Kluyveromyces lactis: one gene and its partners. The protein of the gene in region 2 interacts with the protein of the main gene of each other region in a pairwise test. Links are inferred from orthologs where the notes say so. Each region holds a gene or a part of one and is shown on either strand. Other genes may lie near its edges. The genes, in order: DBP6, URB1 and ERB1.

Region 1 (3,297 bases), on a different chromosome or scaffold from region 2:
TCCAGTGTACTTATCCTATTAATTTCTTGTTCTCGTATCTCAATAATCTTGGATAATTCATCTCCTAACAATGAGGAAACTTTGGGAAGTGATCCTTGTAAAGCTGAACGAGCAGAAATGGTTTCAAAGTTTACCCTAGAAGCAGTATAGTAGCCTTTTGCCACGAACTCTTTAAGTATCTTATCCTCCTCTTTGGTGTGAATCCACGGATCAAAATCAGGATAGATTTGTGGGTTGGAGTCGGTGAGCGGATGTAATTCCTCCGGAGGAGTTAGTAAATATTTTGACGGTGACATCAGAAGTATCTAGCGGTTATTCTCTGACTACTTATATGTGTTAACAAGCACTAGTTAAGACAGTTTAACCTGCCTAAGGTACTTTGAAGGTTTATAGTGTTTCAGTGATTCTGAACGATCAATCACATATCAATTTAAGGTAAAGAAAGTTCTAAAGTGGAGGAAAAACACTGCTCGAACAATAAATAACATGTCACATGATCAACTCATCAGAAGAGGCAAAATAGATAGTAAGTATAAGATCATTAGTGCCTTCTCAAATATCACTTAGACGAGCCCCAAGAATGGGGTACAGTTACTATGATCTTTTTACTTATTTAGTGATAATATGCTATTTACTGTCTGCTTCTTTGCTGGTTTGGAGTTGTTTGATACAACCCTTGTACGTATCCTTCAAAGTGTCTTCAATAGAGAATAATTCAGACAACTTTTCTTCGTCAAGGTAAGCAGATGGTTGATAACCATCAATGTCACGACTGAGGTCAGTGTCAATATGTTGTGACCAGAATTTCTGTTCACCCTTACCAACTAGAAGGTTAATTGCTATACCCTCAGTATTAGCCCTTGCAGTTCTACCACAACGATGAACATATTGTTGAGAGGAGATCGGTAGATCATAGTTTATCACATGAGTAATTTCATTTATATCGATACCTCTAGCCATTATGTCCGTTGAAATTAAAACTGATTTCTTTTGTTCTGAGGATGCAAATTCCTGTATTAGTTTTCTGCTACTACCCTTCGAGATGTTCGAATGAATTGATGAAAGGAACATATTATACTCATCTTCAATTATTCCTGATCCTAACATGGCATGTAATAAGCTTTCTAATCTGATCGAAGCTTCGTTACTCTTCACAAACACTAATATTTTAGCGTTTCTCGAAGCACTGCTCTTGATGTCGTGTATTATTCTTAGTAAGAGTAGTGGCTTGAACAGACTCTTAGCAGTAGGAATATTGACATTGAGTTCTTGCAATTTCTTAGGTATTGAATATAATTTAACAGAATCTGTGAGGAAGATCTTGGGGTTGTGGAGATACAAATTGTACAACTTTTCTGCATTCGTAGTCAAAGTAGCAGAAAAGACCATTTTGATTACGTTTCCTGGACGTTTATCCTGCTTATCGTTTGTCAAATGGTGGAAAAGCACTTGGTTCCAATTTTGGAATGACTGATTTAATAGTCGGTCTGCTTCATCAAGGACTAAGAACTTCAAAGTTTTTAGGTCAAATGATTCCATCTGCAAGTGATCGACCAGTCTGCCCGGAGTGATGATTAGAATGTCTGGAGAGTTATACAAAAATTTGTTGTGTTCTTCTTTCAAGGAGTTCTCGAGTTTCGACATTGATACATTGAGACTGGTCCCTTGACTTAGTTTAGAGAGACAATCGTAGACTTGATGAATTAAAATTTTAGTAGGAACCAAAATTATTGCCCTAACTTTATTCACTGTTCTAGATCTCAAAATTTGAACCAAAGGGACAGAATATGCTAAGGTCTTACCGGAACCAGTTGATGCGTTTACTAATATATCACCAACTCGTCTTGTGAAAAGTTTTCTGTTTGCTTTAAAAGATGAGTTTAGAAGCGGGAGCACTTTATCGAATAGAATGGTCTGAATAGGGAACGTTTCAGATGAGAAATTGGAGGTAATATTTTTAAGCAGACGTGCATCTAATTCACCTTCGTAGCTATCGAATTGTTTAACCATTTTACTATCGTAATGAATTTTGGTTGCTGCATCCCACGCAGTGGATTTATATGTAGACGGATCTAGAAGCTTCAAGGCTTCATTGGTCACTTTGGCCGGTTGAGGAATTGGGGTAAGACTGTGAACATCTTTCATGGATACGTCCTCATCGTGTACATCGTTGTCACTACTGACCTTGTCTGAAGCGCTCAACGCACCTTGCAGGGAAAGAGTCTGTTGAAATCTATTTAATACGGAACTGTGCTTTGCATCAACTGATTGCTGAGAAGTTTCTGTAGGCGCAACAGATGCAACCTTGTTTTCATCTTGCTCACTAATTGTATCGGAATCATCCTCACTGCTGGAAGCATCATCCTCACTGCTGGAAGCATCGTCCTCACCAGAGCCTTCATCATCAGTTTCCGCATCTCTTTTCCTCTTTTGGGGCACAGTGGGTTCTTTTATTTGTGTGACTTCAGCTGTTAGTACATTTTCAGTCACCTTAGTAGGATCAAACCTTGCAGCAAACATGTTATTGACTGGATGCTATCGTTATGCTGTCGCTATGCTGTTACTGACCTTCTAAATTCCTGAAGCTCATCGCATCATATTACATCTCATCGCCATTCGTCTATTATTTTATTTCAGAACGGAATTCATAAAAAATTTCAATCTGTAAAACTTGAAATAACGACAAGATATAATAGAGTTAAGTCACTACCATGATATCAGTCAGCCAAAGGTTCCAGCAGTTAGACAAATATCTCGCGTCTACGATAACACTCATAACGTCATAAAATGTTCCCGTCATTGAGATTACTATCACGTTCTGTATGGAAAGGTCCAAATATAGTCCCATTACCAATAAAAGAAGCATTGGCCAAAGGTACGCCCATTAGAACAAATGCCAGATCTGCCACCATATTACCTCAATTTGTCGGACTGAAATTCCAAGTGCATAATGGTAAGGAGTATGTCGCGTTTGAAGTGACAGAAGATATGGTAGGAAGTAAGCTAGGAGAATTCGTACCAACAAGAAAGAGATTCAGTTATACTCAAACTAAGAACAAATGATTTGACATTTATGAAAAGCACAAAGTTAGTCAGACAGCAGCATGTATATAAAATCACACCTGGAAGTTCATGTACCACCGTGTACTCCATACGTAACTGTATCTATTACTAAGAAATGATTTATTGAACAAGTGCTCTCGATTAATTGGGAGTTAATGGTGTTTCTCATTGTTAAATAGATGCAAATGTTAATCATAACGAGTACTATATATAATAATTGAAGTAAAATAGAAT
Region 2 (3,761 bases):
TACCCACCTTGGACAATAGGTTATCAATAGTTTCCTGTACCTGCGTAGAAAGTAAACTGCCTGACATCGTTTTCTTTAGACGGAAAATAATAGCAGCTACATCAAAAGAATTCACAGGGAATCTGCTCATTTTGCTTAACTTCGGGGAATATTGCAACAAAATGTGATCATAGCTAGAAGTTGAATCATTTGAAAACAAAAGGTATTCCGGAGATGATACTTTCTTAATGATCTCGTCAGTAAAGGATAAGTACAATTCGACAAGATTATGAGGTATACTTTCAACGTTAGAAAGTAGATTTCTAATACCTACTTCAGACTCTCCTAGCACCAGCATATTTCTGAAAAATATAAGTAACCACTTGACGATAACTGACTCTTTTGGGTTATCAATTTGGACAAATTTCCATTGTTCAACAAGTGTCAAAAGGAAAGGTGATAGATTCTCATATTGCCTTGCCATATCAACATACTTATACGGAGTCTTATGACATCTAGAAATGGCTTCATCCAATAGTTTCAAAATCTTCATGTGCTCCGAGGTGGAAAAAGAGGAACCAGTACTTGACAAAAGCGATAAACTATTAATTAAAGCTGAAATTGGAGAACTTATTAGCTCTTTCATCTTGAAAATATTACTGAACTGTACCAAATTGAATAGTAAATTCGATATTCTAGAAGTGACGATTGATGAAGCGTTTTTCGAAGATGCGAGCCTTAAAAGCGATGTGAATAGAGAGTTTTCGTTATTTGAGGCATTCCACCACTTGATTTGGGAGTTATTTAGTTCCTGGAACTTCATGAAATTATCAAGGATAACCAAATCCATTCCTGAAAATTGATCACTTTTCATAATATCAACATATATGTTGCTAGCTGGTAAATTGACGTTGAAGAAGTTTGGGAATATTTTACTATAGTAATTGAGGATAACGGTTAAGGACAAAGGTAAAATTTTGTTAGTTGGGGATTCCGTGTATAAGATATTCAAAACTGTCGTCAAAACGGGTAAATCTGGCAAGTACGAAAAATAAGCATTTAAGAGCATTGCCTTTGAATTATCCCATCCCTTTTCGTTGTACAAGTCCAGCACTTTATCCAATTTCTTCAATGAAAATACCAACAATTGACTTCCCATCTGTCTGATTAGATTTACTTTGTTTTGCAGACATTTCGTAAGAGCTGTTTTCGTTAAAGTAGAAGGAATAATCGACTCCACGACAATTGTTGTGGATGGAAGACTATCAGAATCTACTGTTTCGACGTATTCTGGAATGGGAAGATTGATCATTCTACCCAAAAACAATGTCATACCAAACCAATAAGCTGTCATCTTTGGGTCATGTGATCCCATAGATGACACGTACGTTGAGTAAGGAGCCACCAACTCTGGGACGTTACCTAAAATTTTTATGACTGTATTACATTGTGTATCATCTTCCCATGGCTTAAAAAATGTTAATGTGGTGTATAATAACTTGTTGTGTAACTTGAATACCTTCTGGTTAATTACCACAGGAACGCCTGACTTCAAGTTTGAACTATCCTCAAACCAAGAAGTTTTGTCGGTAAATACGACACCAAAGTCCGTATCGCCACCATAGATTTGAAAGAATTCATCTATCAAGGAAACAATGGCTTTATTTGGAGAATAGTAAAACTCATGCAACCTATTCACAACGAACTCATTTAAAATCTTACTCTTGGTCATCTTCCTAAAACTCGTTTCTTTTAGAATGCAATCAATAAATAGATGTAGAGATTCCTCGATAAGTTCAACAGAGTCCATTTTAACCATATTCTTAACCCACGCGGTCATAATTTTCTGATTGTCACTGAGAATATCCTTCCTTAGTACCGCCGGTGCGTTCTTAACTAGTGTTATCCAAAATTTAACGAAGTTGGACCTCATAGAGATGTGAGTTGATTTCCTAGTAGCTTCAATATCTGGGTTATCAAGCTTTCTTGGATTCAAAACCTTCAACAATGCTACCAACGTCAAATCGAAATATGACAAAAATTCATCAACGAACTGGCCTTTATTAAACTGTACAATCTCTGTCATTAACCCAAATACTGAATTCGTTATCGAAGGACGCAGATTATTGATACCTCTGTAAAGAACTTTACAGTAATTATTAAGTATATCACGGATAATAACGGATCCGTATTGCACAACACTGGTATTCGAATTCAAAATGGCAATTAGTTTTTTGAGCTTTATAGTAGTTTCAGCAAACTTAGCATGTTCATTCACCTGTGCATAATATGACCAACCTTGTGTGCATTGCACAGCAAGTCCCTTTTGGAAAAACTCAGCTACAGGGCGGTAATTATTGGAAACATCAACATTGAGTAAATCAATACCGTTGATAAGAATCTGCAGGTCATCAAATAAACCACTGCTCACATTACTAACACTTGGAAGGTTCTGTTTCCATTTCCTTTTTCTGGTCCCTAACATGGAGCCGTCGTCGTTATTCATAGCGCAAACACAATGTAGTTTCTGTTCAAAAAACGCTAGATATTAACGGCTTATATATATTACAATAAACCAGCACACTTTCTTGAAGTTTTAAAATGAACCAATGCTACTGTCTTACATAGATTTTAGTAAAACAAAGTGATGATTGTATATGCCCAATCGATGCGATGAGCTTGATCAACATTTTTTTCTTCCATTCTACGCTAAAAGAAACAAATTTTCCAAATATGACGGGGCGTCATGCGATTTTCACGTGACATAATTAATTAATAGTAACTTATCACCTTGCATATTCCCTCACCTGCTTGTAAGACAATCCATAGTCTTATATATGCTGCTTTAGATAGCTGGGATATGATACATGTAACAATAAGGTCACTCAAGGATAGATATTAGCGTTTATTGTTGCTTATTATGCAAATTATGTACTATTTTTACAAAAGATATAAACAATATCGGTTGACAGAATGAAAAGCTTGGAATTGATTAACATCGATGAGTTACTTCCAGAGTTCCAGAACAGCTTCGTCAAATCTTTAACTTTTCTTCGAAGTACATCGTTTAATTGGATCCACGAAGAGAGATGTTCGCACATAGGTTTTTGAAAGTCTCAAGAAGAGCGTATTCAGAAGTTGCAACCAATGCAACCAACGGCGCAAAGAAGTCCAGATTTGATAAGTCAGCTATTAAACCATTAATTTCACTATTGATATTCGGATCTGTGTTAACAAGTGTTTCAGCCCAACAGCAGAGACATGCTGATATGGTTAGAAGATATGAGATGAAGATTAAGATTCTACAGGATTTGATCGACCGTACGAAGCAAGGCGATTTCAATTACAATGCGGAGAAGGAACTAGAATTAGTTAACAAGCTATTCGCTCGTCATGAGCTGGGTAATTCTGTTGATTTGGAAAGAGAAGCTAAGATGATACGTGAACGTGCGGCCAAAGAGATTATTGATCGTGAAAGGGTAATAAAAGGCATGAATTCACAAATTGAAGAAGAATCACTGGAAGATATCTTTCAGGATATCATGAAAGATATCGATCAACCAAATAGCAGCATCGCAGCTCCGACGAAAAAATTAGATAGTGATTCTATGAAGAAGGGTTCTGACGATATTATTGTAGATAAGGAATGGCTAGATTATGAGAGACAAAGAGAACAGAAAAGATTAGCATTCAAACCTTCTACTGAGAAGCATGTTATCGTAGAGAACCCTGGTGAATACAACATCGCAGCAGAAGAAACTAAAGTCAAGAGATTTTTGTAG
Region 3 (3,753 bases), on a different chromosome or scaffold from region 2:
CGACACAGGCGTACTACCTGCTCATCAGGGACGAAATAGCTTATTTGTAACGGATGAATCTACCTCAGCGACTGACCGCGGAAATGCACAGTATGGTTATGAAGCCACCAAAATTATCAGCCTAGACAAAGACAAAAATCAGAATAATGACGGCAACTATGACGATGATGATGATGATGATGATGATGATGATGTTCTATATTCTTCGCATCACCAGCGGCACACGAATGAAATGTTGTCCACCACTGATACAAACATACGGCAACATACACAAAATGGCTACGCTCTGCCTAACGCTGAAGAGTTAGACGAATTGAGTAAAATTACGACCGTTGCCAGCACAACAAATAACGGTAATGATATCGCATCAGATGAGGAAATGGCAATGATGAGAGACATGGATACCTTTTGAGCTCTGATCCAAAGATAATAATGTATTCCCTTGAACACTAATTAGAAAGTATCTACTTGTAATATTGATAGGTAATGATGTCCATAGTATACAGTGTTTTACAAATATCCCGTCATGAGGGTTCTATCAGGTAGTCCACAAACGAGCGGTTTTGTCGGCACCTGCAGAGAATAGCCAAGCTTCACGTGGATGCCATATAGTATCTAGAACACCTAAACTATTCACAATCTTGTGGCCGGTTAGTTTCTTCAACGGGACGATCATAGGGTTCTTCATTAAATCGTCATAGACCGTGGCATGGAAAACATGGATGTTACCATCATCCGCAGCTGAGCAAAACAGTGGTAGTTTCTTGTGGAAACTTACGCTTCTTACAGCCTTCTCATGGTATCTCAAGGTCTTATATGGAGTGCTTGCAAGGTCAAGATCATGCCACAACACTCTCTTGTCAAACGAGGATGCAATTAAGTTATCACCTCTTGGGTGAATATCAATAGTAGATAACCAACGAGCACCAGGTAGAAGTTTCTTGATTAGCACTTGTTGCGATAGGTCATAAATTCTGACGTATCTTTGAGAACAGACCAAGAGCTGTGGCTTGAATGGATGGAATTTTGCATCCATAATGATACCCTTAGATTTTTTGAATGGCGATTGAGTTAAATGCTTGGATAATTGATGAATCAAAACTGATGTATTACCTGAGTCTGGTTGAACAGTGACAAAGTAATCACCTTTTCTATGCCATGAAAGCTTTTTCACTGATTTACGACAAGTTATTACGATACAAATATCATTGGCAGCTTGCCTTTCGGTTGGTTTATTCCATTGAGCAACCTGTTTCTTGACAGCATGTGATTCAGCACCGTCATCCTCATCATCGCTATTCACATTGAGATTACTCTTTTTGACGTTTCCGAAAGTATCGAAACCAAAACCGTATTCAATCTTTGATTTACCTGTGTTTTCAATTTCAAAGCCGAAAATTGGTGGAACAAGCAAGAAGATGTTTTCGCCAGCAGTAACCGCAAGGATACCGGTAGTACTGTCGGGATTCCATTCAACAACGTCTATGTGGTCATCATTGTTTTCTTCCGCATTAAGTATTGTGACTTGGTAAACTTCTCTACCTGTAAGAATTTCCCATACTCTGACAGTGCCATCATCGGAACCAGTAGCCAACCATAATCCAGTTGGATCAATGGACATTGTACGAATTTTTCCTTTATGACCGACATAAACGGTAGAGCAACGGATTGGAAATGGTCTCAAATCTTTTGTAGAGGGCAATTCTGGGATCAAAGATTCAGGATCAATGTTCAACTTATTTTTGCGAACACGAGGCGCTAAATACAAATCTAATGATCTTTCAAACCTTTCTCTGACAGATTCAGAGTAACCTGGAACTTTTCTTAATGCAGCGAATTTGTGAGGCACAAAATTTCTCTCTCTTTCACTTGGTTCCATCTTTTCCCATGCATCAATTTCCTCTGGGGTCAAAAGATACTCTTCCGGAGGGTTGTAAGACTCCTCATTTGTTGGTGGTGGCAATTTTGGGGCTCTCAAGTTCATAACATGTTCAGAGATTTCTTCGGCATCTCCCCAGAGATCGTAGTTATGACTGTCTTGTTCTTCTTTTTCTCTTAATTCCTTTAGTTTCTTTGGTGGGATAATTCTACCTTCTCTGATTGCTTTGACTATTTTCATCACACGCTTGGCTTCGTGCTTTGACGGAACGAAACGTCTTTTCGGTTCTGGGACGGCCGTAACTGGCATTACAGATTCGTGTCTAGTGAACCAGTCGATTAAAGGTTCGTATGGATTCACAGATTCGTCCGTCTGTTGATTATTTTGCAACTTATTGATTAATTCAAGTTCTTCTTCGGTCAAATTCAAAGAGGCACCGCTGTCTTTGTCTAGTAAACCTGTCCAACCCTCTGGCAATTCTATAGATTCCAATAATTGATCTAAAGCAGATCCTTTGGCTGGTCTCATTATTCTCTTACCATTAATGTCATAACCAATATGTGGCATTTCATCATATGCAGATAGTGGGATGTTACCAATTGTGTTCTTAGCTTCTGCATCACTATCATCACTATCATAAACAGGATTAATTTCTGACTTAAGAATTCTTGGTCTTCCATCTGAATACTTGGTACGAACAATGCCTTCATCGCTTGTTTCTGGAATCACTGTTAACTTTACATTTGACAATTTGTCGGTAATGGAAAAAGCATCGCCTTCTTCAGAAAAATCTGAAGTATTATACTCCTCCTCCTGTCCATTTTCTTCTTCAGCTAATAAGCGATTGAATTCAGCATCAGAGTCGTCATCTTCAGCTTCCTCAGCTTCATTTTCGCTAGCCTCTTCATCGATTAAACCATCAACTTCAATTCTTTCATCTTCAGAATCGGACAATTCAGATTCCTCGAGAACTCTCTTTTTTACAACAAGCTCCGCTGATTCAGAACCATTCAAAGAAGAATTCTTTCTGGCCATAGTTTCTGGTATTGTTTTCTGGCTCTCTATACTTTCAGAGCTTCTTCTGATGCCGTTAACTTTGAGAAGTACTGGTTATCTCTGTGGTCTATTCACTTCAGCTCATCTCATCTCATCTCTCAAGATGAAAATTGAAAATTTTAAGAAACAAAAAGAAAGAAAATTACGATACATTAATTACTTCTACAAAGTTTTGAACAAGAATGCTATTTTGAAAAAGTCAAAGTACCCTTCAGCAAAGATAGGGAACTGGTATTCAATCAACTCCACATATACTTCTACTTACGTTGAAGATATTTACTTTGGTCGCTAGCCTACAATGAATGTAATTCTTAACTCTTATTTTTTTTGCATCATAGACAGTTATCTTAGTTTTATTCTAGTAGATGCAACATCGTTTTCAAGTTTGTAATTTCATCATTGAAGAAGCTATTTCCAGTAAACTTCATTATTCCAATTTGGGGCGCTGATAAGAGAGACCTATTTCGTTTCTTCAGAAACTCTTAACGATGTAACATATACTCATGTAGTTCTCTCAGATCTTGTTGTGATATGCCTTGGATGATAGTTGATTGATTAATCGCCTGATGAGGGATCGTTGATATCAAACAATATAACGAATATAATATAATAATCTATTTAGTTAGATCGTTGAGTATATGCGTCCAACCTCCCCAAGAGGTCGCAACATAGCTCAGCCTTTTATACTCGACTTATATACTCGGATGGTCGTCAGACTTCGTCATGGCAACTCATTGCCTCCATGCCCTTGTAGGTCCTCTGCAGCTACCGTCCTCCACGCGCACTCAAGACCATCACGTGACCGTCTATGATCCATC

Evidence for each region.
Region 1: the proteins of URB1 (region 2) and DBP6 interact in binary tests that used the Saccharomyces cerevisiae proteins (3 or more experiments, as listed by UniProt). The link is inferred for Kluyveromyces lactis from reciprocal best matches to the Saccharomyces cerevisiae genes URB1 and DBP6.
Region 3: the proteins of URB1 (region 2) and ERB1 interact in binary tests that used the Saccharomyces cerevisiae proteins (3 or more experiments, as listed by UniProt). The link is inferred for Kluyveromyces lactis from reciprocal best matches to the Saccharomyces cerevisiae genes URB1 and ERB1.

Annotation. Positions count from the first base shown.
Region 1 is NC_006042.1:665,343-668,639, forward strand, and holds DBP6 (putative ATP-dependent RNA helicase DBP6), read right to left. Parts: upstream 2,521-3,297; coding exon 628-2,520; downstream 1-627. Other genes in the region: SRB8 (Srb8p), read right to left, coding at 1-296; RSM19 (mitochondrial 37S ribosomal protein uS19m), read left to right, coding at 2,788-3,063. UniProt on the Saccharomyces cerevisiae protein: ATP-binding RNA helicase involved in the biogenesis of 60S ribosomal subunits and is required for the normal formation of 25S and 5.8S rRNAs.
Region 2 is NC_006041.1:1,618,426-1,622,186, forward strand, and holds the start of URB1 (Urb1p), read right to left. Parts: upstream 2,486-3,761; coding exon 1-2,485. Other genes in the region: INA22 (Ina22p), read left to right, coding at 3,069-3,761. UniProt on the Saccharomyces cerevisiae protein: Required for 60S ribosomal subunit formation and pre-rRNA processing. Required for normal accumulation of 25S and 5.8S rRNAs.
Region 3 is NC_006042.1:2,461,037-2,464,789, reverse strand, and holds ERB1 (ribosome biogenesis protein ERB1), read right to left. Parts: upstream 2,915-3,753; coding exon 539-2,914; downstream 1-538. Other genes in the region: CSM3 (Csm3p), read left to right, coding at 1-412.